2 linked regions of the Sus scrofa genome follow. The protein of the gene in region 2 interacts with the protein of the main gene of each other region in a pairwise test. Links are inferred from orthologs where the notes say so. Each region holds a gene or a part of one and is shown on either strand. Other genes may lie near its edges.

Region 1 (15,717 bases), on a different chromosome or scaffold from region 2:
AAATTATTAACAAACAATTTGCTTTGTGTGAGCACACACACACATACACTCACACATATTATTTTACCATGACTCATAAGAAATAACATTGCAGGCCTCATGGCATTTATCCCTAAATAATTCAGCAGGCATCTCCAAATATTATTTATTAGCTAGCCCATATGCAAATTTCCCCAATCCTATCAAAATTTGATCCTTTATAGCCTTTAAAAAGAAAAAAAAATAAAATAAGATCAAATAAAGCTCCAAACACTGTATTTGGTTGTCTTTAGTCTTTTTTAATCTAGAAAAGTCTCCCCTCAGTGGCAATAACTTTTGAAGAGGCCACATGTCTGGTATCTTCCATGAAGAATCGTAAACCCTGTGAATACATATCATTACCTCCTCGTGGTTCAGTTTAACAGGTTCCACTTTCTCTGTATTTTTCTGTAAATTAGAAGTTAAGCCTAAACGGATTTTAGGTTCAGCTTAAATATTCTGCAACAATATTTCACAAGTGGTTGGTGCTGGAGACTCCACACTGCATCAAGAGGCTCATGGCATCAGGTTGCCTGTTACTGATTCCAGGTTTGATCACTCAACTATTTAAGAAGGCAAACACCAAACGCAATTAAGAAGTAATCCTTGAGCACCAGAGGAACAGATTACTCCCCAAGATGTTTGTAACTAATGGTGTTACTAGCATCTTTGGATGATCTTCACCTGAAACGTGTATTTCAAAGGAAGTTACAATGATTTTCTCATTCTAGCATTTCCTACATTTACTAACTTATAAGTTTTGTAAAGAAGAGCTGTCCTTCATCAACTACACCAGAGTTCCTCCTAAAAGGCAGGCTAACCATTTCTTTCAATTTAAGTATTGCCAGAACCATTTTCTTTCATTAATATTTTTTATTCAGAGTATTACTATGGACTTATAAAAATTACTTTATTCAATGTTTGACCATCTGTTACAGTCAATCTTGCTGGAGTAGGGCAGTGAAAGAAGGTGACCACTGGTTGAAATTCAAGCTAAACCCAGACAATCAGAGGATTCCTACCTGGAATATATATTCAGCCACTTCCAAGACTCAGCCTTGAGAGAACCATGCCTTATTGAGAGCATCTGGATTGGATATGTGACTGAATCCCATTAAGGCCTCTATACAGGGATCCTCCTCCTCGCTGTTACTAAAGACCTACAGTACTACCTGCTTTCACTAATTGAAAGAAATCCAAAGAGGATTTCCGTTTTATGAATAAAAGCAAGAAGTGAAAACAGCATTCATTATTTTGCATCAAGCCTTTCAGAGGCAGCACTCACTAGAGCATCAGGAGTGGCACTACCAAGCTCCTTCCTGGAACCTACACTCAGCATCTCAGCACAAAGCCTCCATACCTTTAACTGTGTCTGTGAGCATCTGTGATTTATCTTGAATTATTTTGTGCGTCTGTTAACAAGATATGTCCTAGGTCATTGCTTCTTCACTTTACGTCATTTTGTCTTATGAAAGGTTTCACAGGAACACTCCATTTTCAGACAGCAGGGGAAACCTGAATAAACTTTATATGATTTCAGTGGGTGATTACAGAAACCTGCTGGTCTTACAGCTGCCTAAGACAAGACTTGTATATAAGTTGCCTTGATTATTAAAATTGACAAGTACCAAGCTGAAGTAGTCTGCTTCTTTTTCTGTTCTCTCCTGGCCCTGCCTGTATAGAGACCAGTTTGAAATTTCACCTGAGGGTGCAAAACAACAACCATGGATGTTCAAATTTATCTGAATTTGGCACCTGGGAGGCCCTTGAAGCTAGCTCCCATTTAGTTACAGTTTACAAATAAAGTTTATACAACCTTATTTGTCTGGGGGCAATTTTTCACTTCCTGGCACAATGAGAGATCACAGGCTCATCTTATATTTTTTCCTGCCCAGACTTAGAATCAGCAAATTCTCCAGAGAGTTTGGTCCCCTTGAGTGGAATATGGTATTTAGAAACCATGACTTAAGCAATAAATGTGCTCATTGCTGCTAGAAAGACACTGCATGGAAGCCTTTTAAAGAGAGAGCTGATAAATACATTTTTAAAAGATATACAGTATATGTTAATACCTGATGGCTTAGCTCACTCTTTGTCCTTCCTTTTCTAATTTTTCCTAGATATTCTTTTTTATCCTCTAGAGGTAACTTAAAATCAATTTACCTTATTTCAGAAAAACATCTTACTGGTCTTGCTATTTAGATTATGTTACAGGTACACAAGCATGCATGAGCACGTGCACATGCACACACGCACAGGGATGTGGTACATACAGTCTTGGAAACTGACTTCTTTATGATGTGATCATACCATGTCCAGAATCATGGAGTACGTCTTCAGTTTCAAGTCTAATATGTCTCATTCATTTAGTTTCCTCTTAAGATTAATGGATTTTAATCACAAATTCAAGGACTTTTTTCTCAGGAGTCTCCTTCCTTCAAGTCTATGAAGTATTAGACTTGTTGAGCAACACTCTTCTCTCAGGCATACACTTTCCCAGGCTCCGCTGACTATCTTCCTTTTTCTGTCTGCCTTTAACTAGATCCTTTTATATCCAATCAGAAAAATGCAGGTGTTTTTCAAAGGTTTGCCTCTTAATTTTTTTTTTTTTTCTGTCTCTTTGTCTTTTTTAGAGCCGCACCCATGGCATATGGAAGTTCCCAGGCTAGGGGTCTAATCGGAGCTGTAGCCGCCGGCCTACACCAGAGCCACAGCAATGCCAGATATCAGCCGTGTCTGCAACCTACACCACAGCTCATGGCAAAGCTGGATCCTTAACCCACTGAGCGAAGCCAGGGATCAAACTCGAAACCTCATGGTTCCCAGTCAGATTCTTTTCTGCTGCACCATGACAGGAACTCCTGCCTCCTAAGTTTTTAACATAAATAATTTTGTTACATCTTTTTAAGCCCTTCAGTGTGCTTTCCAGCTCTACACCTGAATTTCAATTGCACATTGGTCATTTCATCCAGGTTAATGTTGGGACTTCAAATTAGTGGTATGTCCAAAACTGAACCACTCTCCCTCACCCAACCAAACCAGGCCCTCTTCTGGATATTTTTATGTCCTCTTGTTTTGTTTCATAGCCTTGATTTTCAAAATTCCAAAAGAGCTCTTAATAGTCTCTCCACCTTGGCCTCCAAATCAAATTATTTTATGGACTCATAGATTTATCATCATCGTTGAAATCCATTTCATCATGTTTATTCACACTGCCTCTACTATATTTTATCAGTCTTTATTGAAAAATATTCATTTTTTCAAGTTCTAAGGAAACTAATAATGGAATACCTTTTTCCACACATCTGAAGATGCAATTAAAAACAGCATCCTAATATAACATATTGTAGTTCTATGTGTTTTCTGTCATTAACAGATAAAAATGAGCCGGAAAAATGTCACATCTCAATATACGTAACAGTGAAATTCTGAGGAAGGGATAATGCTGATAGTGAGATGCTGGTAGACAGAAGAGACACCTATATTTATAGATTTGCTGTGTTATGAAGGAATTAGGTATTCAGCTTTCTTTGTGCAACTGGATTATTTTCCACATCACACTTTTGCAAAGGCTTCAAGAGTAGACATCACATTTTGTAAGAAGTAAATATTTGTTGAGTGCTTTTCCCACAGCCTCTGCAAACCCACTGTGGACAAAGAACCATCTGTTTTGCCCTGACCACAAAGCACTGGTGGCCCCTCACAAATTTCCATGTATTGGGTCTCTTCAGAGAAGCCTATGGTCCAGGAGAGATGTGTGATAATATGGTTACTTGCAGGCCCTTTTAGCACCAGTAAGTAGGTAAATGATACCATTTTCTGTTCTGGCCATAGCACTCAATAGTAAAAAAAACTTGCCAAAATACAGTCATTTTAAATAACATACCAAGAATAAATACACAGTGGTTGTTTTATACTAGGTAAAAGAAAACAAATAAAATTTCAGCTCCATGAATGGAAAGAGGGACATGAAGTGTCAATTCAGATATGCCTATCATTTGTCCCTTTACTACCTGCGGAGCCTTGACAAATTACAGATCTCTCCAAGTCTCAGATTCCCCTAAAATATAAAATCATAATGATATCAACTACTTATGGAGGGGAAGGACAAATGAAAGTGCATTCATCTGACACATCAATAAATGTTAAGTCCTACTTTCCTTTCCTTTTCCTAATGATTTAATGGGACAAAAATAGACTTTCCCTACTCCTGCTTGTGAACAGTTTCCAAACTAACTCAAAAATATGTTGCTCTGTTACAATTTAGCATATGGCTACCAAAATGTGTATAAATATTTTCTCTAAACACATGGATTATGTATGAATGTAATTAATTTCCACTGTTAAAGTTTAGACAAAATGTCCAACTATATTATCTAAGCAAAAAATATATATATACTCTTTATCGATGAGTCAACTGTAATTTCATGAAACATATTAATACACAAAAAAATCTCTAGTTTTTCTTTAGTACGAAGGTGCACAGCGATGCATTCCATTGCATCTTTCAGAAAAGCAGGATAGGGTTCCCGTGATCTCCACTATAATTCTCCTCTCCATTTAGATTTAATGGAGAGGCTCAAGAAATAAATCTCACAGTCCTGACCCCAGCTGAGGAGTCTCCAAGGACAGTCCAGAAGACATTTATCCTAAACACTAACTGAAGTTCTCCCACTGCCCTCTCTGTGGCTAAGAATGGATAGAAAAAGGAAATCGATACCTCTCTGTTTTCTAGAACGCAGTCTCAAAATAACTGCATTAATACATAAATTAAAAAACCTTTAAATTTATGGGAGAATTTAAAAATTTAAAATCAACTTTGCACAATGTAAGTTTGCTATTAAACATAAGTCTAACATGCAACAAAAAAAATTCCCCAATATTTTCTTGAAAATCTAAAATGCTACCTGAATAAGCAAAATTACTAAAAGTTGGCAATAGCTGGGTTAGATATATGTATTCCACACGTCAAAATGTAATAGTAAAAAAAAGAAAAGTGATGGCAAATATTTATATAACACTTGCTAAATGTGTAACTAGTTTTTGGTAACTTTAGAAATGAGACTATTACTTAAATTTTACTTAATAATCAGTGTTTTCAAAACCAGGGTATAGCAAAACTAACTGTCCTCACCGTCACTAATGTGAAAGTTTGTTGCCACTGTGAATTACTGAAATTTATTAAATTAAAAAGTCATACTGAATTATGAATATGGGATTATAAATGCATTTTTGCATGTCACTAGAAGTAGAAAATCATAATAATAACAATGAAATAATTAGAAATTAATAACAACTTCAGACCAGTGAGGAATTTTTTTAATTTAGGTTTTAATTTCTTTCCAGAGCTACATAAACAACTTGAAGAAGAAATTTCATCATTACCTCAGGTTTTTATACACAAAACGGAATTTTCTTAATGGCTATGTGATAAAAGAAGTGAAGAAAATAGCTGTATTTTTTAAAGTCACAGCTAATTACTTAAAAATAAAATTTTCAAAAGTCAGAGAGAATAAATCAATTTTAATGAAAATATTTTCAAAACCCATTTAATTATGCAAACAATTCTAAACATCCACTTCACTTCTGTTCTACTTCCAATGTAGTTTTATTTGACTTGATATATTGCCTAATTGACTACTTACAATATCAGTAAACAGTAACCAAAGCATGACCACACTCTTACTCAAATCAAATGCTTTCAAGAATGCAACAGACATAGGAGCTTTTCCACATACTTCTTACTAGCTGCTTTAAAAAAAGAAAAACTATTTTATTTAAGAAACAATTGTCCAAATAGCACAAGTATCTTCTAACTAGGAAAATATAATTTTTGGTATATCAAATGTATGTGCATTAATTTTCTATTCCATTATTTTCAAATCCTAATGGCATCATTGGGTTGCATAAATGTGGTAGCTCCTTTAACCATTACCATTTCATAAAAATTAAAGAAAATAAACTATTGGGTTTTTTTGAAAGGATAATATATCATTTGTAGTTAAGAATATAAAAAGTGCCTTTATAGGTACGTGTTTGAAACTTCTCCCCTTTATGTATAACCCATCACAGAATGGCTGCTTGATGCAGACTAAGAAAAAAAATCAGTGTGCTACTTGCTTGCTAATAATCATGTGTGGATAAATATATGAAATAATCAAATGTTTATTTTTCATGATTAAAATTTCTTCATTTAAAAATTCTTGAACAGACCACACACTCAAGACAGAACTCCAGCTAAGATTTTCTTTCTCTACCATGTTCAAGACTGGGACAGAAAATGTACAATTAATCAGTAATCCAGGATTTTTCAAAATGTCCAAATTTTGGCATCCCATTGAAAAGCTGCAGTAAATTTAATAGGCTGTTTTAAATTTGAGACTACTTCCTCATTACATTCAGATTATAAAATCAACTAACAGTCTAGGAACCAATTTAATTTACATGTCTTCTTTCCTTCAGCTTCTACCTTCACTCCAAACCCTCTTTCCCAGCAGATTTTATTTCCTCTCAGTAAGCAATTAAAAGTAATCTGCATGATTAAGTTTATCAAAATCAGAGTAGGTGGCTTGTAGAATTTAACAATACTATTTTCCCATGATAAACCAGTAGGCGGTGCTAACTCTAGGATACTACTTTCAAAGATTTTAAACCAAAACACTCACAGAATAGGTGACCAATTTAAAGAGCTGTAGAATTCTCAATATAATTTGAGCAGGAGAAAATTTCAAAGTTCCATTGCAGCAGATAGAAATTTAACAGAAGTATGTAATATAATGATCAACATTAAATGGAAACCTAATATAATTAAAGGTTTTCAGCATGATCTTTGTTTACAAAATTTAATGTGCAGCTACATATCTGCTCCCACTTGAAATCCTGTGGACATCTTCTTCCACCCCACTATGGTTTCAAGCCCACTTGGAAATATACAGTACCATCTGTGCTCTTACCAACCAGTCTTAACACACAGCTACGCCCATTTTAGGGCCGCAAGAGAGCCTGTTAATGAAAATTCTGGTTTCTTTCTCACTCACTGTGTTTCTCTCTTTTAAAAGAACTAAAGGACTTACAGTGCATACATCCTTCAAAGAAATATTAGACGTGTATTGTCTTGCGTTTTTAAATAAATGAGCATTTCTATTTATATACATTATTTTCTAACAGTGATTTTTAAAAACTCACAGAATGTTGCAAGTGGCTTCTTAAATGTTTTTGCTAGCTGTTTAAACCATACGAAAGACTACATTTTACTAGAGTGCTTACCACCACCACAACAAAAAAAACAAAATTTAAAGCTTAGTTACATAATATATGCATCAAATCTTAGAACCATGCCCTTCAGGATATCAAGTCTGGTGATCCACACACAGGACAGAAACTATCTTCCTGACATAAATGCAACAGGACTTTCTTAACAGATAAAAGCTACCCTGAGCAGGAAAGTAAATCACACTGCTACTTCCAAAGACCTCTGAAATGAGAGAGAATACTGTGAATTAAAAAATATATATAGCCTTCTAGATATTGCAATAAATTTTAATCTTCTACAGATTAATTATCACTTGCACTCCCTCTCTCCCCACAAAGAGTAAAGAAACACAGACATAAAACTTCACAAACTGAGCTTACAGACAAATATTTGCTTGAAAAAGACACTGTATATTATTAAAATGTTTGTCATGGGCCCTTCTCTATGTTGAATTTAGTGTTTTATGTCTATACATAACCTAGAAGAAAACTTAATCTGAGAAGTAAAAGTTATTTCACCTGCCTTATTTAACAGAATTCAAATTACACAAAGCTTCAGAATCAAATCATTTAAATAACTGCCTCCAGACTTAAGATTTAAAGTACAACACAAAATTTATTTGGACAGCAAGTTTGCCAGCAGATTTTCACTGCGTTAAGTACATAAATGGCTTTTTACTACCAAAAAGTAGTACCAGATTATTTTATTTACCTTCAAAAAGTAGTACCAGATTATACTGGAAATGTAACAGGACAATCATAAAATGTCTTAAACTCCATAGAAAGCATTCAACATTGAGTACTATGTTATGCTACCAACACACTGAAATCTATCACCACCGTCACCAACTCCTACCCCTGTCCTGTGCCACGTCTCAGGGGAAAAGCTTTGTAACCACCATCAGGTGGTTAAAAAGAGGGAAAACACATCGTGCTTTTAATGCTCAACCTTACGGATGTAGTCTCACCAATGCAAACTGTTTTGTCCTCAACATTAAATCCAACTGACCATCACAGAAAGTAGATATCTTCCCCCACCCTGGAAGACGCCAGGCACTTAAAACCAAAGCAACACAAAAGGGAAAGAAAAGATCCAAAGACAGCACCATTAAAAAGGCGAAACCCTTCCGAACAAGAAAAACAGGCTGGCAAAGACCTACTGCGTTGTTTACTCAAGGCAAAGAAGAGGAGCGGGAGTTGAGCGTGCGGGGGTTGGTGCCATCCTCAGGGATCTGGAAAGGTCTCAAGCACCCCGGGTCCCCTGGCTAGGACCCAGCCCCTTCGGAAGAACTGCCCCTGCCGCTTCTCCCACAGTCTCCCCGGCGCTCCGATGGGCCGCCCCAGCCGGCTCGCGCAGCGTCCTTGGCCCTCACCCCTTCTGCTCTTCAAGTGGCCCTCGGAGAACTTACAGGGCCCGCCGGCTCCTGTGTCCCCGGCCGGCGCCGCCCGGGGCGCAGACGCCGCCCGCTGCGGAGATGACCAGGGCGCAGCCGAGGGAGGGACAGTATTTTGCGCACATACAAAAACCAGCCCCAGGCCGGGGACGGACTTTGGTTTCCCCTAGCTCCCCTCACGGTTTTCCCCACCGCGGGCTCGGACCCTGCCCGAGCCGCGCGCGCGCACACACGCGCATAAACACACAAAAACACACACACGCGCACACACACACAGATTTCTTTGCCAAGACCAGTGTTGCCATTGCAAACCCGGGAAACGCCTCCAAGGGGACCAAGTACCTGCTCTCTGCGAGCTGCTCAGCTGTTCACTTCATCCTCCGTTGACAAGGAAACCAAACCGCACTTCATTTTTTTTTTTTTCCAGAAAAACCTTCCACTGCCATCATTTGAAAATTGATTTACGGGGAGGGGAGGGGGAGGAAGAAGGGATAATATAGATATCAGGATATCTATCATAAAATTATCTCGGTCTTTTAAAAAAAGTCAGATGTGCAAAAGTCACAGTTAATTTAAAGGAGGAAAAAAGTATTTGCTTAAAAATCATCCCAGGCACCAGCTGCAAGAAAAGTTTCATGTTATCAATGGGTAGCAAAAACAGGAGGTAAAAAAAACCAATTTGTTCTCACCGGCTTCCAAAAAGGGCACAAAAAATAGAAAATTAATGTATTTGCTCAGTGGTTTGTACCAGGTACCAGTATTGCAAAACCACAAACTTGTAAACACTGCCGTAAAATCCCACCTATACAAAAAAATCTTATCAGAAAAAGAGTATGCCAAAAAAAGAGTTAGAAACATGCTTTTTATTTTTTACAAAGGAAAAAAAAATAGGCACCATACTTCACATCGCTTTTTCCTTAAAACCAGTTGCATATTTTGCTGGACTTGGGAGTCGCTCCCAGCGGGCACGGTCGCCGCGACTCCCAGACACAGCGCCTTGTCTACAGAACCATCGCATGCTATAAAAACTTGGATTCAGGAAAAGGCTCAAAACCATGCTCCTCCAGCTTTCCCAAATATAAACAATAATCAAAGAAGTGGAAAAAAAAGAAGAAAAAAAACAAAAAAACAAAAACAAAAAAAGGACAAAAAAAAAGAAGAAGAAGAGGACAAGAATGCCACTGAGAAGGTACTCACCGAGCGGGAGTAAAATGTTGGAATAAAAATGAGATTTAGGATAAAATACAGTATGGCGGTGGAAGAAGGAATGAAGCGCGTTTTTTTCTCTCAGTCTCTGCCTCAGGCACTGACACGTGACTCGGAGCAAAGCTGACTTGCCGGCAGCGGGGAAGGACCGAGGCTGCGAGGGGGGAAGCCCCACGGAGCCCAACTCAGGCTGGCAAGGCGACGGCGGCGGCAACGGGGAGCTCAAGCGCCTGTGAGCGGCAGCACCAGAGGCGGCAAGCAGCGGCAGCTCCGGGCGAGGCTGCCTCTACTGAGAGCCTAGACGAGCAGGTGCCCCTCACGCTGAGGCTGAGCACACGCACACGCACACGCAAGACAGGCAGGGCGCCGGCGAGAGGGGGAGCCGAGCAGGGCTGGGCCGGAGGCGCGCAGCTGCCGCTGGTACTGCTGCTGTTGCTGATGCTGCTGCTGCTTCTACAGCGGCCGCCGCCTCCGATGCGGAGCGCGTGTTCTGGGGCAGCTGGGGGGATGCTGATCAAACGCCTGGGAGGAGGTGAACAACTTGCTGCTCACCTCAAACTTGTTGTTGTTGGCCACTTCCTTATGCATTCATCTATTTTTCATCTCGGGGTAGTTACCTGGGGAGAGATCCCATCCCTTTCTTTCCTGAAGTTTCACTGTTAAAGCCCGGTTGAACTCATTCATTTTTCCTCCAAATTTCCCATTTCTCATCCCTCTTAAACTGCCTTGGCCTCTGCCGTTCCCTCCCCCAACACCTGCGCTTCCCCCTCTCGGTTCTCAGGGAACCTGGCTCAGCGCGCTACGGGGGGCGTTGTCACCGGCGAAGCCACTGTCAATCTTTACTGCCAACAGAATTCACAGCATTTCTTGCTGTCATCAGACAGGAATGCTTGCAGTTTGAAAGGCGAAACATCTCTCATTTATGCAACCCCGTCCCGGGTTTCTTTCTTCGGGTTGCAGAGCGATGGGTGGGGGCGTGGGGGTCGTTAATTTATTCATTGGTGGACCAGGCATTGTTTGTTTTGTCCGCGTGTGCGCGCGTGCTTCCAAGCTCCTCTGGAAGACTCCGCGGGTCCCTGCTCCCTTGCAGAGGCTCCTGACTGACTCTTGCCCAAGTTATGGGCTGGGGCTGGAAGTCAAAAGAGAGGTGCAAGGGAAGCAAGTCAGTCCATTGTGTAAGTGCTCCCTGGGAGGGAGTGAGCACCTAGCGGTCGAGAGGGGGAGACGTGCACCGGGAGTGAGGCGGCGGCGCAGCCCGCGGGAGCCCAGGTGGCTTAGCTGTGGATTCTGAAGGTGAGGGTGAGAGGAATTTCTCCACCTGGCATCTGGTTTGGGATGCCTATCGCCTGAACAAAGATTCCATAAGCCAATCACTGGATGCAGTGGGATTCTTCTTTTGCTGCCTGTTCAAGTATCAGTTTTCTGGGCGCTGGAAAATATCTATTCTTCATTTTTGTGCAATACTAGTATCAGGACCATTTCCCTCTGCTGCTTTGAATCTGGGTTGTGTGGAATTAATTGGCATCTCTGTGTTTGAGAATGAGCAATTAACACAGTTCTGCAGTTCACAGATTGCTGCCCCTGATCGTTATCTCAGTGTTTCCAATGTTGACATTTACGATAAAACGCCTCCGTCGGAGATGATCTCACCTGGACATTTCTGAAAATTAAGTACACATCCATTACAGAGAGCTTCAACAGCAAAGATGTTTCTCAAGCATTCTGGTCAGAATTCATTGACCAAATAAAGTATTAATCCACAATTTAAATAAAAGATTTAAAATAACCATTAAAAGATTAAATATTTATTTTGGTGAGTTGCCAACTCTACACCCACTTATTACACGTACTTTAAAGTGAGGGTTGCTAATTAGAAATACTGAAAGGGATGAATGCATCAAAGGGGATTTGGTAATTTTAGAAGGCTTGTTGAGCTCTATTCCAAAATGACAGGATTTTAAACTGGATAATGTAAATCATATGTTGTGCTTTCACTTGTAAAATACATTGGGTGTCTTTAAAAAAAAAAATTAGATCTCTCCAAATATGGTCTTTTTCTTCTCTGAGTCATGAATTTTTTTTTTCCATTAAAAGATGTTTGCTAATTTTTCCAAAATTTTTTTCCCAAGTTAAAAAATACATGATTCTAATCATTTAGTAAGGAAATATTCCTTTAGTGAATGTTATTTTTACAGCAGTAGTCAAATGTAAGAAACTCCACTTTAAAAGTAAGTTTTGAACCCTTCATGTAGACTGGGCAATGCCTAGGTTTTAAAGAGTTATTCAGGAAGAATTTTGAAAAACAAGCTGTTTAGAATTACACTGCAGTAATGGCTGTCAGCCAATCACAGTGATTGTCAAGCTTTTATTATTCAATAAAATGACTCCCCTTTATGTAAAATGCAGTTCTGCTAAAGAACAAGCAAGACATCAATATCCTGCCTGCCTTTCCTCATTTATTTATGTAATTACAATAAGGTGCTCAAGTTATTCCATTTATTTTATTTCCAATATGCCATTTTCATCTTTTCAGTTCCATCAACAAGGTGAAAACCAAAAGTAAACAAAGTTAGACCAAGAGAAGTAGTATTTATTGAGCATAGCCTCTCATTTAGTTCTTGTTGCTGTTCTATGAAACTGATACTCTTATACTCATTTTACAGATTAGGAAAATAAAGCCAAAGGATTTAAGTAATTTGTCAAGCTTTACACTGTTAGAATTAGAGGTGGGACTGGACCAAAATTTTATCTGGTTTTATAGCTAGAATAAAAGAACCTTCCTAAAAATACATGAAAGATACTAAATATTTTCAAATATTGCTACTGATGCCAATTAATAAATGCACAATAGTGTAAATTAAGTAAGTAGATCTAAAATAAATTTGTGGCTATATATTCCCCAGTTAGTAGTATACATTTTCATTTATTTTTTGATTTCATAAAACACTTGGAGTAGGACACAAAACTTCAAAAGCAGGAATGAAGGGGTTAATTTTTTCTTTAACAAAAATCTTTACAGAAAAATGTGGTCAAGTACTCCCTGGTCACATCCTTAGGGGTTAACTGTAGGCTTTTTAAAGCAAAATTACAATTGTGAACTGTGCCCTTTGATATCCTTTCTCTTTTTTTTTTTTTTTCTTGATCTTTTAGAGCCTCACCAGCAGCACATGGAGGTTCTCAGGCTAGGATTCAATTGGAGCTGTAGCCCCTGGCCTAGGCCACAGCCACAGCAATGTGGGATCTGAGCCGTATCTACGACCTACACCACAGCTCACAGTGACATGGGATCCTTAGCCCACTGAGCAAGAACCAGGGATCCAACCCACAACCTCATGGATACTGGTTCGGTTCATTAACCGATGAGCCATGAAGGGAACTCCTGCTATCCTTCCTGAAGTAAACTATGGAAGATTCATGATTGAAATATATACTAAAATGTATACTAAGTTTAAGGTAAGATAAATAAGTAATTATTAAAGAAAAATCTATTTTGAAATCTGTGCTACATAATCTCAATGTTTTCCCATTAGAAAATATTGAACTTACATAAATTATATGTGCATACATATATCTTACATATAAATACACACTTAGAAATTATACATTACAATACCATGGTTGCAATTCACACTTTAACTGTTCAATGCCCTCAAATCATTTTCTCCTTTTTTTTGCTTAATAAATTTTTTCACATCTGAGTAATTTTAATCTTTGAGTACTTTTACTTTTTCATTATATATCCAATTCCTGCCCAAGAACGTATTCACTTATGCGTCTCATTCAAATTTGAATGATATCCTTCATTTTGCCTATACTTCTATTGGAGGAACTGCATATACCTAAACTCATCAAGTAATTTATACAAGTTATCAAAGAAAGTGATTAAAAGATAGGAAAATATATAGTAACAATAGAATATGGCCTGAGTAAAATAGAGAAGAAAGAACTATCAAAATTTCTGTGTAAGAAAAGAAAGTCATGGAATTGGAGAATATTTGTGGTTACCAAGGGAGAAGGGAAGGGAGTGGGATGGACCGGGAGTGTGGGGTTAATAGATGCAGACTCTTGCCTTCTCGATGGTTTAGCAATGGGATCCTGCTGTGTAGCACTGGAAACTATCTCGTCACTTACAATGGAACATGTAATGTGAGGAAAAAGAATGCATACAGGTATGTGTAACTGGGTCACCATGCTGTACAGTAGAAAAAAAATAATAAAAGGTTAAAAAAAATTTCTGTGTAACAATTTTTAATGTTTGTTTCATTCTTCACATATATTATGGAATCCAAAAAATTCAGATCTATAGAATAAAATACATATCAAAGTGTCGTGATTTATATACATTCATAATTATTTACATAATAATTTAAAATAAATTAATGTCAATTAATATTCTTACATTGAATGTGTTTATTCTGCATTAAGTAGTTTGAGTGTAGATCTACGATAAAGTGACCTCCAGCAAAAGTGACAGAGTGTATACACAAGAAAGCCCTGATGAGTTGCCTGATTAATACACTTAGGCACAGAGAGGAAAAAGAGCAGCACATGACATGTTCAGTGTTCTGCACCATTTGTTATAATTCATTGATTACTGATCTGACAATCACTCACTCTTAAGAGGATATAAAATATGTCAGTTTATAAATTTAGAAACTGCAAATTTATCCACAATATCTCTTTAGATTTGAAAAGTTAGAGATGAAAATGTGAAAATCCTAGAGCCAGAATTAGGCCTCTGAAAAGGTTATTAAAGGCTAAAAATATTAAGTTAATTTTAAAATATTTTATTGTATTATACATAATACATTATATATAATATATAATAAGTACGTAATATGTAGTATACATCATATATCATATATACTACATTATATATAATAAACCTTTTATTAGTATAAGCATACAAAGAGCCTGAAAGGAACAAAAAAAGAAGGGGACTTTTGCAAAACAAAACAAAATGCAAGTAAGAAACATCATAAATGGAAAAGATGCACCATTTAATAACTGCTTACTATGTTTTAGTAGCTTGACATATGCATTGTCATAAAATCCTCATAATTAGAAATTGAGATTCTAAAAGACTCTGCTCAGGGACAGTGAAAAATGGAACAGAAGTGCTTTCATATTTAGGGAGCTATCCAAAGATCATGCAAAGGGAAAAGTAAATTTAATGACAAAGTGCTATCACTACAGAAAAGAAATTGAGATTATGACTATGGGTGGAGGGCAGCAGGGGAAGAGAATACAGAGGAGAAAAAGGGATGGGGAGAGAGACGAATAGAAAAGAAGGAAGAAAGGAAGCAAAGACAGGGGGAGGAAAAAAGGGGGGTAAATTTTGAGACCCAGAGCATGGATGGGGAACCTGGAAAACTCCCACCATATACATGAGAAATGTAAGACAAATGCAAACACTGGACAGATTTGGGTCACACAGATGAGTCCTAAAAGACATGCGACAAAAAAAAAAAAAATACATTAGAAAAATATTGCAGACTTTACAATACGTTTCTTCGGTGAAACAAAATATTGCCTGAAATATCCAGAAAACAATCTTGCTGAGGCTAACAAAACTCTGTACCAGAAGAAGTAACATTTTTTTTTTTTAATAGAGAGAGAGAAAACCAGAGAGAGCTAGCTTTTTTTGTGTTTAAAAGTCAAGAGATTTGCTTATCATCTGACCCAGAATGTCAACAGAAGACAGTATGGTTTCATTGGGAAATTAATTTTGCCTAAGGAGAAGAATCTTGCGGATGTACCAGAAGAAAAAAAGATCTTTTTACTGTCTATTCACAAGATCTTAAATTCAGAGGCACAATGTAGCTCCTTTATTCACACTGATATAATT
Region 2 (15,137 bases):
TTTTTTGTCTTCTTTATTTTTAATACTTAAGGCTGCTAACATTGACATGTAAAGCTTTATAAATAATAGGTTGAAGGGAGAACATAAGTTATTATGTCCCTGGGCTATTTTGACCTCCGAGTAACACTGCCTAACTTCCCCCCCGTAGGCATGCTGCAAAGGAAGGTAGAAGAGGTAACACAGGTTTTCGAGCATCGTCGTCGCCAGGAGCAAGACCGCAATATCAGGATTGCTTTTGATTGAATGATCCTGTCTTCAACATGCTGTTTTTGGATTATACATGACCTATAAATGTTAATGGTGTTCATCAGACTAGTATTTACAGTTACAGTTCAATCTTTGGTGGCAATAAAGTGTATGTTCATTTTTTTCCCATTTAAGTATTGTGCTGTTGAGAATGATACTGTAGTTTGGCTTTTAGTAATAGCAAAGCAAAGCTATATCGGCCCTTCTCTCTAGGCAGCAACCTATTTGATGTTGACTCTGTGCGTAATTCGCGTCCTACTCTTCTAGGTTCCATATCTTACCGCCAGCACACATGGTCCTCACTCCAACTGGATCATAGAGAAATGTTTGCCAAAAAAGTAGATGCCAACCAGTCTTTACTGGATGCCTATTAACATTCAATGTATAGTGCTAGATACTGTAAAGTCTCCTCAAAGGAACTGTCTACTTTGATATGTAATTAATGCCTTTCTGTATAAAAACAATATAGACAATGCAAGAAGTGTGTTATGAATTACAGAAAGTATGTTATAGAAATTCAGAGACGGGAGGAAAAGCTAGGGAGGATTTAGGATTAATTCAAGGTTATTTTTAAAAGGGAATCCAGGCAGTTCATTTGTTTTTGATGTACAGATAATCTGATGTTTTACTTGGTTTTAGTGTATGATTTATGGTTGTGGATTTTGTGTATTTGTTTGTTTATTCGCTTCTTAAGAAAAAGCCTTGTTCTTAGCTTGGGAACAACTTGATCTCTTGTGTTTCATGCTTTACTGAAGTCATAAATAAAGGCGATGCCCTGAAAAATGAAAGTATAACACTAAAATAAACTCCTTAAAAGTTGTTGAGTGACGAGAGCTTAGTTACCCATAATTACTGAGCTGAATTTCTTTTGTACTGACTGATCATGACCATCCTTAGGGGTACATATTACAGAAAGAAAATATTTTAGAAATGAGTATCAGTGATTTATATCACTTTACAAGTGAACCAAATATCAGAACTTACATGGCCCCTGTTTTTCCTACCCACACTTCTCAAAGTAGCAGCTTCTAATCAGGTAAGTTATTGTTACCTCTTAAAATTATAAAATATGAGACTGTTTAATTTTATGGGTGATTTCTGTAGGTAAACAGCTTTTGAATATAATCTTGAGTAATCTCTAATTTTGAATCCAGTATTACTACTATTATAACCCAGACAAAAACATTTTCCCTATTGTGTCTGGAGATTCAACTCTTGTAGTCTCTGCACACATTAAGTTCCACATTCAGTAAAAAGAACATAGTATGTAGGAGGAAACACTGGATTTATTCTTGTCCCTGCTTAATTAACGGGACAAATAATTTCATTTGGAGCCTTATCTTTTGCCCATAACATGAAAGAGTTGGACCATATTAAGGTTTTCCCAAGTAGAAGAAACTAGTTTTCATTTCTCTGAAGTTTTGTGATTCCTTTGTCTTTTCACTACCAGTACATGCTTAAAGTTCCTCAGTAAAATAAAGAAAGAAAAGACTATTGACTTTGCATTGGAAGTTCTAGTGTTGTTTTTTTTTTCCCCCCAGGCCATAGAAGAGACAGGTGGATGGCAAGTGGCTTCCAGATCGGTACGGTAACATTGTAGGTTTCCTGGGAGCTCTCACTGTACTATTTGGAATCTGGAGCCCTGGACTAACTTGTCTTTAAAGTTCATTCTCACTCTGGTCCTAACGTGTGTCCAAAAGACATTGTTGAACAAATACGAATTAAAATATCAGAAATAATAACCTTTTCTTACCAGTAATTTTAAGGCAACCTTTATGTTAGGGACTGGAGTCTTGACTAACCATTGTCGAAGACCAGCTAAGATAGTAGCTGAAGGAAAATTCTTAAATGTGTCGTGCTGACACTTCTGCAGTGCTTATCTACTTTTTTTGTCCTTTGAAAAAGATGCTATATTTATTCTCCCTATAACAGCATTTATGCTATCTCATTTGGGGAATTTGAAAGACATGCACAGTTGTTTACTCTTAATATTTCCTGAGTGATGCTATCCGTCTTCAAGAGACGATTTTTGGTTTTCGCATCTTCTTTCATATCTGGAAATTATAATTGCTTCATAATGTATTCATCAGAAGTGTGCTGTGAACAAAGCACCTAAAAAGGACAAAGCCTGAAAATATGTCTATGTTAAGGAGGAACTTCTGGCTTAATTAAGCTAACCTTGTTAAATTGTCAGAAAGACAAATGAGGCATATTTTTCAGTTTGTCATAAATTCTTCTGGGGTGAAATTGTGAAATTACCTTGTGGTAAGATCTCTGTGCCCATGAATAACATCTAGAAATCGCAAAGCTTTTTATATACCGTCTGACATCCTTTTGAAGTGGAGAGAGGGATGCTGTGGGAAGCGGAATAACTATTCCACAGTTAATAAATTTGGCAGAGCTAGAAATAACCTGGTTTTCCTTCTAGTGCAATTTTCTGAATTCTTGTCCCTTGGTACCTACCACTCAGACTGGCTACAGTTATACACAGGTTTAGAGTACTTCCTTATGACCTTGCTTTTTAGTTGTAATTCTACCCCATATATGTATTTTTAGCCATTCATTCTCCACTCATCCCACCTAGTGGATTTGTAATGTAGTGTGTATCACCTCAGTACCAATAAGATGTATTTTTAGAAGTTGTATACAAGTCTGGTGTGGGGGTCAGTGTAGTATTTGTTTCACCCTTTGACACCTTCCCAGGGGACAGGCACACCAGCAACCTTGCTGTATTTTTCCATTTCCTTGTTGACCAATGTGTCAATTGGACAGTTTGGTTGAGCAGCAGAATCCAGCCCCACCACCATATAGGATTTACCTGGTATGACCCACACTTTGTTTTTGCTTACATTCGTCCCTGTTCTGCACCAAAGCCACAAAGTGGTACGTATTAGAGCTGCATCCATTCATCTGTGTGCTTCAAGAGCAGTTATTTTCATATGACAGGTTTTGAAAAACTAATATTTTCCATGACATTCTCGTCTGTTAGAAATTCTCGGCATAGGAAGTACAATGTCTTCCAGCAGCTGCTCTTTGGTCTTATCCTCTTAATTTGTGTGCTGTAGTACAGTCAGTTTTAATAAAGCTAAACCTACTGGATAAACTTGGAATATTTGCTCATAGATGACCACCCTTCAAAGTGATTTTAAAACCATTCTTTTGTGTGGTGCTTTATAAGCACCCTATTCTGAGGAATTATCCCCATTTTACAGTTGAAGAAACTGGCCTAGACCAGTTAAAGAAACTTAATGACATAATCTTGTAACTTGCCAAAGCTAAAGTTCAAGTCCAGATTGCCTACGGTTATTGTCAATAATTGTGGGAACTGAGAATCCAAGCTGTGACCCCCTCAAACCCATGATCTTTTTCTTCTTTGGCTCTTCGTGATATAACAAAGGTTCTCTTTAACAAAATATTAATTAGGTAATATAATCATGTAGTTCAAATTTCAAAGGATACTAGAAGATAGAGTGAAAAGTTTTTCCCATTCTTACCCCTCACCATCCAGTTCCTCTACCTGGAGTCATTTACTTACCACTTGTCAATATGTTTTCCAAGAGATATTGTATATATAAGCAAACACATGAATAAATTCCGTTTTTTTTTGTCTTTTGTCTTTTTTAAGGGCGCACTCGTGGCATATGGAGGTTCCGAGGCTAGGGGTCGAATTGGATCTGTAGCTGCCGGCCTATGCCAGAGCATCAGCAATGCCAGATCCGAGCTGCATCTGTGATCTACACTACAGCTCATGGCAATGCCAGATCCTTAACCCACTGAGTGAGGCCAGGGATCCAACCTGCAACCTCATGGTTCCTAGTCGGATTCGTTTCCACTGTGCCACTACGGGAACGTCCATAAATTCCTTTTTAAAAAAACTCAAATGGAAGCATCCTATATGCATTGTTCTGTACTTGGTTTTTGCACTAAATACATTTTAGAGATTGTGCAGTAGCAGTCCATGGAGAACTTTGTCATCTGTGGGACTGCTGCGTAGTTTTCTGTTCAATGGATGTATAATATTCCTGGTTATTTAAGTTTGCAATATTCTATTAGAAACAATGTTGTTGTGACTAATTTGGCGCGCGCACACAGCCACAGTCACATACCCACACCTTGAAAGCAGAGGCAAGATTAATAGGAACACATTCGAGGGAAGTTAGAGGGGCCAGGATTTGGTGATACTGGATGAGAATCAAGAAGTCAAAGGCGACTCCTAGATTTATAAGCTGGATATTTTGGTTGTTGCATTTATCCTACATGAGAAATTCTAGAATACACCAGTTGCTCAATGCTCAATACATCCTCATTCGCTTATTAGCGCTGCAGACTACAATTCCCAGAGTCCCGCGCTCCACCACAATCCCCTTGGAGTCGGCCGCGCAGATTTCTGGGACTTGAAGTCCGCGGCCTATTTACCCAAGTTAGAGCTAGGGGCCTGTGGAAACATGAAGAGGTAAGGGCTTGTCTGAGAGCTGGAGGTGAAGGGCGCTCTGTTCTACCTTTTAACTTTTCAAATGGCTTTGTTACTTTGGGTTTGGGGTATGTCACATTATGGGGAAGGGGTTTCGAGTGAGCGGGAAGACAAAGGAGGAGGGAAAAGGGGAGATGGGCTGGACGGGCCTGTGGGGCGAAGTTCAGGAAGGGCCGCCGCTGCCTCCGGTCCCCGTAGGGATGCCCTCCCGGTACAGGAGCCTAGGCCACGGCGCCGGCCCCGGGAGCTGGACAGATGCTGTGGCTTCTTCCCGTTTCAGAGGGACCCACCGAGGTAAAAGGGTCTTGCCTGACTGATGAAACTGGTCAGCGCCTGAGAAACATGGGCCGACCCCTCCCTGTCCCGCCCTACCTCCACCCCATCCTCAGAGAGGGGCTCAGGGCGCATTTGTTTGCAGTGTTTGTGTGTTAAAGAGAACTTGCTCGGGCTCGGAGAGCATGTAGCGCTTTCAGATCTTAAAGTAAGCAAGTGGTACTTTGTTTCTACAAATTTAGAAGCAAAGTATCAAACCCGTTCCATGTACTATCGGAAAAGAAAAGCATTGTTGCGAGCAGTTCCCCCTACCGGTTCTGCAGGAAATGGCAGCTTTAACGTGGCTGGTCATTGTTGAAAGCCTGAGCTTACTATTGACCTACACAAAGCCTTTTTAAAGGATCCTCCTTAAATTAGTTTTGTATTCACTCTGCAAGTAGAATAATCACTCTGGAGTAGGGTGGTACATTTAAATTCTTACCGGTATAGTGATTTCCTGCACTGTCAGTTTCAGCATCTTTTTAAAAAAATTCTGATTATCCTTGCATTTCAAAATGACGTTTTTAAACGTTTATGATATACTCATACATGCAAAATAATGTGTATATACAGGTTGTTAAATAAGAATAGGCTTGTACCCGTTAAAAGCTTTAGAAATAGAACATTATCAGTATCATGTATCATAGATACTGTGTCAACTGATACAGCAGTATGATTGATACAGTATCCTTGGCACACTGTCAGTATCAGGAGTCCCCAGGGTGCCTGCCCCTGAGTGTTTTTCTTCCCTCACTGAGGAGAATCGCTATCTAGTATTTCGTGTTAATTATCTCCTTGCTTTTTTCTTTTTAAATAGATTTACTACATATGAATTTATATCTGAACAAAATGCTGCTAGTGGTATTCAATTTTCGACTCTATTTAGACAAATAATTGTATGAGTTTTTCTGTGACGATTTTTTTTTTCACTCATCATTTCTTTTTGAAATTCATGTGTACTGATGTATTTAGCTCTGGTTTATTCATTTCAAAGGCACTTTAAACTAGCAAAAACTTTCAGAATTCTAAATAATAAGTAAAAATTAAGATAATTAAAAGGAATTTTGAAAACCCTAAGCCTATGGTTATTTAAAAATTTCCCAAAGTGGGTATAAGTCTTTCTAGAATATGGGAATCTTGCTTATACATCTTCTAGGGCTCATCATAACCCCAACAGTAAATGGCTATTTTTTAAGGAAGATTAATATTTATTTTTCCTCAAGGAGTTAACTCATTTTATTTTTGTCTTTTATAATCTGTTGTTGCACACCTAAATGGCCTTGCTACTTCTTTTCTTTTCTTTTCCTTTTTTTTTTTTTTTTTTTTGTCTTTTTAGGGCCATGCCCACGGCATATGGAGCTTCCCAGGCTAGGATTGGGAACTGTAGCTGCTGTCCTCTGCCACAGCCACAGCAATGCAGGATCCAAGCCATGTCTGCAGCCTACACCACAGCTCACGGCAACGCTGGATCCTTTACCCACTGAGGGAGGCCAGGGATCAAACCTATGTCCTCATGGATGCTGGTCAGATTCGTTTCCACTGAGCCATGATGGGAATTCCCTCCTGCTATTTCTTTACACTCAGAGTGTTTAATTATTTAGGGTTTGCTAGATCTAATTAGCATTTCCTAGATTTCCACACAGTAATGCTTAAGCTATAAAATGTTATGAGCCCCCTCACTTTTATTTCTCTACTCTCTCCTTTGGTGATCTCCTCTCTCACAATTCCAGATCCTGGCAGCACAGATGACTCAAGATTTCCATGTGCAGCCTCGACTCTCATCTATGCAATAATTGTCGTATGTCTGTTTCCTTTAGCCAGTGTCACATACTGTCACCTCAGACTCAGTTGAAGCATTCCTGATATTTCATGCTGGTCTTGTAATAGATAGTTAACTCAACACGGCTAAAACATCTCTCAGTTGTATAGCTTAAAATTCGGGGTTATCTTTCATTTCTCCCTTACCTCCACCTTCAAAAGGCCTTTCTCATCTAAACCTTCCTTTCCATTTCTACTATCACCACTCCAGTTTGGACTTTTATCACCTTATGCTTGATAAATTTAAATAGTTTCCTAACTAGTTCTTCTGGTTTCTTTCTTACTAATCTATAAGGCGTATTATAACCACATTCATATTCCTAAACTATCACTTGTACCACGTCACTTAACTGCATAATAAATTACTTCTAATACTGCACATTAAGGTCCAGGCCTCTTAGATGGTGTGTGTTTAAGGCCATTCACAGTCTGAGTCTAATTACCCTCCCAGCATCATCTGGCATTGCCCCCTTACATGAATGCCAGCTAAATTGAGCTTCTCATTATCTGCCCCAGAACATATTTCTGTCCCTCCATACTCACTCTCCCCATTCCCTCCTTCATCACACCCAATCCTTCAAATGCCAGGGTTAAGAATTACCTTTCCCAAGTTTTCATTTACTATGTTGCCTCCCAATAATCTCTTTCTTCTGTGAACGCCTACTGATTTGGCATATGCTTCTTTATATCTTCTTTCTCCTTCTCCCTCTGTCCCTCTGTCTAGCCCTGTTCTTTTCCCTCTCCTTCCTCCTCCTCTCTCTCCCTCCCTCTCTGCCCTCCCCCACATGCACACAACACAAACATTTCTATTACCTCTCCCTGAATAAATTACAAGTTTCTTGAGGATAGGGCCTATGTCTTGAATATCTTTGACTCCATCAGTACCTAGCAAAGGGCATTCACTGCCTGCAGGTTGTTTAGCTAATGTTTGTGGAATGAATAATAAAAAACAACAAATAGAAAAGTGTTGGGAGTTCCAGTCGTGGTGCAGTGGAAACAAATCTGACTAATATCCATGGGGATGCAGGTTCAATCCCTTGCCTTCCTCAGTGGGTCAGCAATCTGGCGTTGCCATGAGCTGTGGTATAGGTTGCAGACGTGGCTCAGATCCCCCATTGCTGTGGCTGTGGTGTAGGCTGGCAGCTGCAGCTCTGATTTGACCCCTAGCCTCGGAACTTCTGTGTGCCGCGGGTACGACCCTAAAAAGCAAAAAAGAAAAAGAAAAAAAGTGTCTTTGAACAAATGAGATCCCTACTAATGGTAGATAATATAGATAAAGAATGTATTTTGAGATTTACTGTCTCTTCTATTTTCCATGTATATTGTTATATCTACCCCAGGGTCAATAGCTGTGTGAAGAGCGACGAGCATGTCCTGGAGGAGCTGGAAACAGAAGGGGAGAGGCAGCTGAAAAGCCTCCTTCAGCATCAACTTGATACCTCTGTCTCCATCGAGGAGTAAGTATTGATTTTGCAAACAGGTAGAGTATCACAGACCCTCACCTGCAGGTGACAGATGCCTCATAAAGCCTGGATGGAACACTCCTCTCTCACCTCCCTTTTCTTGGCAAACTTTTTTTTTTTTTTTGTCTTTTTGCCTTTTTCTAGGGCCACTCCCACGGCACATGGAAGTTCCCAGGCTAGGGGTCTAATCCGAGCTGTAGCCACCAGCTTACACCACAGCCACAGCAATGCAGGATCCGAGCCACATCTGTGACCTACACCACAGCTCACAGCAACGCTGGATCCTTAACCCGCTGAGCAAGGGCAGGGATCGAACCTGCAACCTTATGATTCCTAGTTGGATTCATTAACCACTGTGCCACGAAGGGAACTCCTTGGAAAACTTCTTATTAGGCAGAGTTTTACTTCTGTGTCTTCCTCTAGGAAGCCTCCCATATCCCACTCAGTCTGGGCTAAGTACCTTTCCTGCATCTTCCTTTAACATACATAGCTCTTATAATCCCGTATCATCCCTGTTTAGTTGTCTCTCTTCCACAGTTCTTCCACAAAAACAGAAAGCGTTTATCTTTTTTTTACTGTTAAATCTTCTGTACCTAGCACAGTGTCTAAAGCATAGTAGGTTCTCAATAAGTAAATGTTTGATTCAGTCGTTTGTTAGTCCCAGAGCAGAGGGACTGTTAAGGGAGTTTCACACCGTTGCAGTAGTGCTTCAGCCTAGAAATAGAACGTGAGGGAGAAATTGCTGCTGGGTTTCATTTGTTCCTCTTAATGGGGAGCCCCATTTCGGTGAATCGTGGTAACTTGAAGATGTTCTTACTCTCTTCCTGCTTGTTTTGCAGATGCGTATCTAAGAAGGAGAGCTTTGCTCCTGGTACTATGTACAAACCCTTTGGAAAGGAAGCAGCTGGGACTATGACTTTGTCCCAGTTCCAGACTCTGCATGAGAAGGACCAAGAGACTGCTTCTCTCAGGGAACTAGGACTCAATGAAACAGAAATCTTGATCTGGAAGAGCCATGTTTCAGGTGAAAAGGTGAGTGGGCCAGTTTTTTCCTGGAGACTAAAACCTGAGATCTCTTCATTTGGTACCAAGAACCTTTTCCTCTGCTCCTTGACTTCTTCACTAACATGTCTAAATGGCCGTTTCTGGGCCCTGGTCATTTTCTTTCTTGTTTACAGTATCAGATCTTCACTTTCAGGGTGTGTCTGATGTGATATATGCCATCTCATTTCTCTGCTTTCAGAGGACAAAACTTAGGGCAACCCCTGAAGCAATACAGAACCGTCTGCAAGACATTGAAGAAAGGATCTCAGAACGTCAGCGCATCCTTTGCCTGCCACAGAGATTTGCAAAAAGCAAACAGCTGACCCGGCGAGAAATGGAAATAGAAAATTCTTTATTTCAGGGAGCTGATCGTCACTCCTTCCTCAAGGCTCTTTATTACCAAGGTATGTGGTCGCCACTGACTCAATACGTCCTTTCACTGACAGAAAGATTTAACATCAGGGCATTAACTGTGAAGAGTTAGCGAAGCGAGTAGGGGAAAGACAAACGATCACTACTCTTGAGGAATGTATAGTCCAGTGAGAAAGACAAATATATACATAGTTGCAGTACAGCATGGAAATTGCTCTTGTAGAGATGTGGCTAAAATGCTGAGGGGACAGAGGATGTAGAACATTTAAGTCTGGTTGAGGGAGTCAGGAGTTGACATTTGTACCAAGTCTTGACAGACCAACAGGCATTGTCAGGTAAATAAGGGGGAGAGGGCATCCCCGATAGTGGGCGAGTAGGAACAGGAGTGTGAATGAACCTGGTGTGTCTAGGGAACAACGTACAGTTCAGTGTGGTGGGAAGTATAGGACCTGGTGAGGACTGACAGGTGATAATACTGGAAAAGCAGGCGAGGCTAGATTGTGAAGGCTGAACTAGAAATGAGCACAAAAAATATAGATAAATGGTGTGTGTCTCATCCGGAAAGAATGAGTTTAACAGACAAGTTTTGCTAGGCACTGTGAAAGGTGTGCAGAAGTTTAAGAAATGGCTCCTGACTCTGTGCCAATCGCTGTCTTGTTGGCGAGAGAAACATATAACATTTAATGACAATGCTAGATCCAGTTGCTAAATGCTGTAGGAGTTCAGAGGAAGGAAAGGCCACTGTGCATTGGCATGACTGAAGATGGCCTCTCAGAGGAGGTAAGATTTGAATATTCTTTGAATACTACCAAGTCTGCAGAAAGGAGAGGGAAAGGCAATTCACTTGTAGCAGATGTTGCAAGCACTGTGGCATGTTTGAAGGTGTCAAGAGAAACAAGATTAGAAGAGGGGCTAAAAATTTTGAACTTTATTTTGGCAGGTAGTCTAGTATAGACCGATACCGAGTTAGTTATTCAGTTAGTCGTTTTGGATATGGTTAAAGGTCTTTGCGCCACAGGAGTAAATAAGATGAAAACAGTATTTGAAAATGATTAGTTTAGTGGCCAGTAAAGAGGATGCACAAGAGGAACTGAAAGCAGGGAGAAAGATGTAGGAGGTGTCACGGTCATTTCGGCAGGAAGAGCTGGACTAGGATGATGGCAATGGAATTGGAAAGAGAAGTGGGTATGGTTATAGGAGACATTACAAAAGAAGAATTGGTAAAACCTGTGGTCTGAGAATGAAGGTCAGTGGAGAGGAATGTTTCAGAGATAATAACCCAGGTGTTTCAAGGCTGTATGACCTAACAGTTGGCAAAATTAAGAAAGACTTTATGAGGAACTTTGGAGGAAAGATGATGAATTTGATTTTAAACATGTTGAATTTGGGAGACTGGCAGGATCATCAGATGCAGATATTGAGGAGGCTGTTGGAAAGGCAGTAGTGAAGCTTGGGAGAGAGGGCAGAACTAATAGAATTGGGACTCATCTGTGCTCAGACAATAGGTAAAGCCAACAGAATGAATGAATGACTCTAATGAGAGACAGAGACATCATAGTCATGGAAGAGCAGTGGTGAAGGAAGAACCAAAAGAATGAACCCACAGCCTTTGGTGGAGAGACGTTATGGCATACTGATTAAGAACCTGGGCTCTTGAGGCAGATTCCTGGGAACATCCTGGCTCCCCACTTACTAGCTCTAAGATGTAGGGCAAGTTACCACTGTACACTTGATTTTCTTCATCTGGAAAATGAGAATATTAATAGCTGTATTATAGGATTGCTAGGAGGATTCAGAGAGGTAATACATGTAAATCACTTAAAGCAGTAGCTGGTGTTTGGGGTGGGTGGGTGGTGTGTGAATCTGTTGTGTTTCCTGTCTTTGAAACTCCTTGCTTTAAACCTTCACAGCATACCACAAAAAGACAAGTGCAGACAAGTACATGACCTCAATGAAGAGGAAGATAAAATTAGGCACAAAAGGCAAGTCGAGAGTTTTCTTACAGTGTTAGATTTAGGAATGTAACCTAGGGTCCCAGACTTCTAAGTTGAGTTCTTATTTGATTCCATATTCAGTATATGACAATGTTTATAGGACCTGATCCACAGGGAGCATATTATCCTGATACAGAATATGAAAGAGAGGAGTTAGTAGAAGTTGTAAAGCTTTTACATTTAGTGTTGTCGATTTTTCTCGCTATACCTTTAAGTTATTATACCAGACCTAAAGTGACCTAAATGAATTTTAGATCCTATTTCATAACTAACTCTGAATATTTTTGTTAGTCAGTAAAATATAACTATTGATGATGATGCTATAATAGCTGATATTTTAGTTTTGAAATGAACTTATAATAAAATTGCCTGTTTTGGGGGGGGAGGGGGTGTGTACAATTCTGTGAATTGTAAATCGTGTAAATCACGTAGATTCATGTAACCACCACCACAATCAGGATAGAGAACAGCTCCATCACCCTAAAACTCCCTCATACTCTCCATTGATAGTCACCCCGCCTCCACCCATAATCTCTGGCAATCACTGATCTACTCTCCATAACTGTGGTTTTGTCTTTTAGAGAATGTCATATAAATGGAATCATACAATACGTAATCTTTTGAGAGTAGCTTCTTTCATTCAGCACAACGCCTTTGAGATTCATCCAAGTTGTTTCTATCAGTAGTCCATTCATTTTGCTGAGTAGCATTCCATTGTATGGATGTTCCAAAGTTTGTCTGTCCATTCACCCATTCAGGTGCATTTGGGCTGTTTCCAGGTTATGGTGATTATGAATAATACTGATATGAATATTCTTGTACAGGCTTTGTGTGAACATAAAATTTTTATTTCTCTAAGGTAAATATCTAGGAGTGGGATTACTGGGTCATATGGTAAGTGTTTGTTTAACTTTATCAGAAACTGCCAAACCATTTTCCAGAGTGGCTGAACCATTTTGCATTCTCACCAGCAATGTATGAGAGTTCCAGTTGCTCTACATCTTTGTCAGCATTTGGTATTGTTGGTATTTATTTTAGTTATTCTAATAGCTGTGAAGTGGTATTTCATTGTAGTTTTAATTTGCATTTCTTTAATGGCTAATGATATTGAACATCTTCTCATATGCTTATGTGCCATCCTTATATCCTGTTTGCTGAAGTGTCTGTTCAAATCTTTTGCTGTTTTTTGAGTTGTTATTTTCTCCTGATGACTTTTGAGAGTTCTTTATATATTCTAAACACGGTTCTGTTGGATATATGATTTGCAAGTATGCAGTTTATCTTTTCAACAGTGTCTTTTGCAGAGCAAACTTGTTTTATTGTGGTGAATTATACCTAACATGAAATTGACCCTTATAACTATTTTTAAGTGTCCTGTTCTCTGTAGCATTAAGTATACTCACATTGTTCTGCAACCATCACCATCATCCATCTCCAGAACTTTTTCATCTTCCCAAACTGAAACTCTGTACTTATTAAACACGAATTCCCCATTCTCCCCTCCCCTCATCTCCTGCCGACCACCATTCATTCTGCTTTCTCTCTTTATGAATTTGACAACTCTATATATCTCATGTAAGTGGAATCATATAGTATTTGTTCTTTTGTGTCTGGCTTATTTCACCTAGCATAATGTCTTCAAGGTCATCCATGTTGTAGAATGTGTCAGAATTACTCTAAGGATAAAGAATATTCCATTGTATTTATCTGCCACATTGTGTTTATCCATTCATCTGTCAATAGACCCTTGTGTTGCTTCTACCTTTTAGCTATTGTGAATAATGCTGCTATGAACCTGGGTGTATAACTATCTGTTTGAGTTCCTGCTTTCAGTTCTTTAGAATATATACCCAGAAGTGGAATTGCTGAATCGTATGGTAATTCTACGTTTAATCTTTTGAGGAACCTCCATACTGCTTTCTGCAGCGGCTATACCATTTTAGATTCATACCAGCAAGGTACAAGGGTGTCTCAATCTTTTGCCCATTTTTTTAAATGGGTTGTTTATTTGTTGTTGAGTTGTAGGAGTTCTTTATATATTTCTGGATATTAACCCCTTATCAGATATATGATTCATAAATATTTTCTCCAGTCCTATGGGTTGCCTTCTTACTCTACTGATAGTGTCCTTTGATGCACAACAGTTTTTATTTTTTTTAATTTTTTATTTTAATTTTTTGATGCACATATTTTTTATTAAAGTATGGTTGATTTACAAAAAAAGTTTTTATTTTTGATAAAGTCCAATTTTTCAATTTTTTTGTTCCCTGTGCTTTAGGTGTTATTCTAATAAGTCATTGCCAAATCTAATGTCATAATGCTTTTTTTCCTATGTTATCTTTGGAGAGTTTTATAGTTTTAGTTCTTATGTTTAGGTCTCTGATCCATTTTGAGTTAAGTTCGTATGTAATATAAAGTAAGGGTCCAGCTTCATTTTTTGCATGTCGGTACCCAGTTTTTGCAGTACTACTTATTGAAAAGACTGCCTTTTCCCATTGAATGGTCTTAGCACACTCTGAAAATCATTTGGCTATAAAAGTATATTTCCAGGCTCTCCATTCTATTCTGTTGGTATATATGTCTGTCTTTATGCCAGTACCACACTGTTTTAACTAGTATAGATTTGTAGTAACTTTTGAAATCAGAAAGTATGAGACCTCCAACTTTGTTCTTATTTTTCAAGATTGTTTTCACCGTTTGGGTCCCCTGAGATTCCATATGAATTTTAGGATGGATTTTTCTATTTCTGCAAAACACATCATTGGGATTTTGAAAGGACTGCTTTGAATCTGTAGGTCACTTGGGATAGTACTGACATCTTAATGATATTAAGTCTTCAATCCATGAGCATAGAATATCTTTGCATTTATTTGTGTCTTTAATGTCTTTCAGCAACATTCTGTAGTTTTAATTGTACAGTTTTTTTCTTTCAGAGCAAATATTTTAAATTTTGATATGATCTAAATCCATATTTTCTTTTATGGATTTTTTTTTTTGGTCTAAGAGCTCTAACACCAGATTATGAAAAAAGATTGATTCCCTTATTTTCTTCTAACAGTTTTATAGTTGTATGTTTTACATTTAGCTCTATGATCCATTTTGACTTAATGTTTACATAAGGTATGAGGTTTACATCAAGGTTCACTTTTTTAACTATTGAGTATTATTATTCTGGTGTGAATTGCTAAAAAGAGTATTCATTCTCCATTTACTTGCCTTTGCTTTTTTTTTTTTTTTTTTTTTTTTTGGTTTTTAGGGCTTTACCCACAGCATACGGAGGTTCCCAGGCTAGGGGTCAAATAGGAACTGCAGCTGCCAATGCCACAGTCACAGTAACACAGATCCGAGCTGCATCTGTGACCTACACCACAGCTCTCGGCAATGCCGATCCTTAACCCATTGAGCAAGGCCAGGGAT

What was found.
Region 1: the proteins of RBM41 (region 2) and RALYL interact in binary tests that used the Homo sapiens proteins (3 or more experiments, as listed by UniProt). The two-hybrid records come from large-scale screens. The link is inferred for Sus scrofa from reciprocal best matches to the Homo sapiens genes RBM41 and RALYL.

The regions. Positions count from the first base shown.
Region 1 is NC_010446.5:52,549,341-52,565,057, forward strand, and holds the start of RALYL (RNA-binding Raly-like protein), read right to left. Parts: upstream 10,320-15,717; 5' UTR 9,861-10,319; exon of another isoform or gene 9,006-9,860; intron 8,780-9,005; exon of another isoform or gene 8,679-8,779; intron 8,656-8,678; exon of another isoform or gene 8,430-8,655; intron 1-8,429.
Region 2 is NC_010461.5:87,564,593-87,579,729, reverse strand, and holds the start of RBM41 (RNA-binding protein 41), read left to right. Parts: upstream 1-4,611; 5' UTR 4,612-4,691; coding exon 4,692-4,699; intron 4,700-8,187; coding exon 8,188-8,304; intron 8,305-9,149; coding exon 9,150-9,342; intron 9,343-9,553; coding exon 9,554-9,758; intron 9,759-11,636; coding exon 11,637-11,708; intron 11,709-15,137. Other genes in the region: NUP62CL (nucleoporin-62 C-terminal-like protein), read left to right, coding at 149-243. UniProt on the Homo sapiens protein: May bind RNA.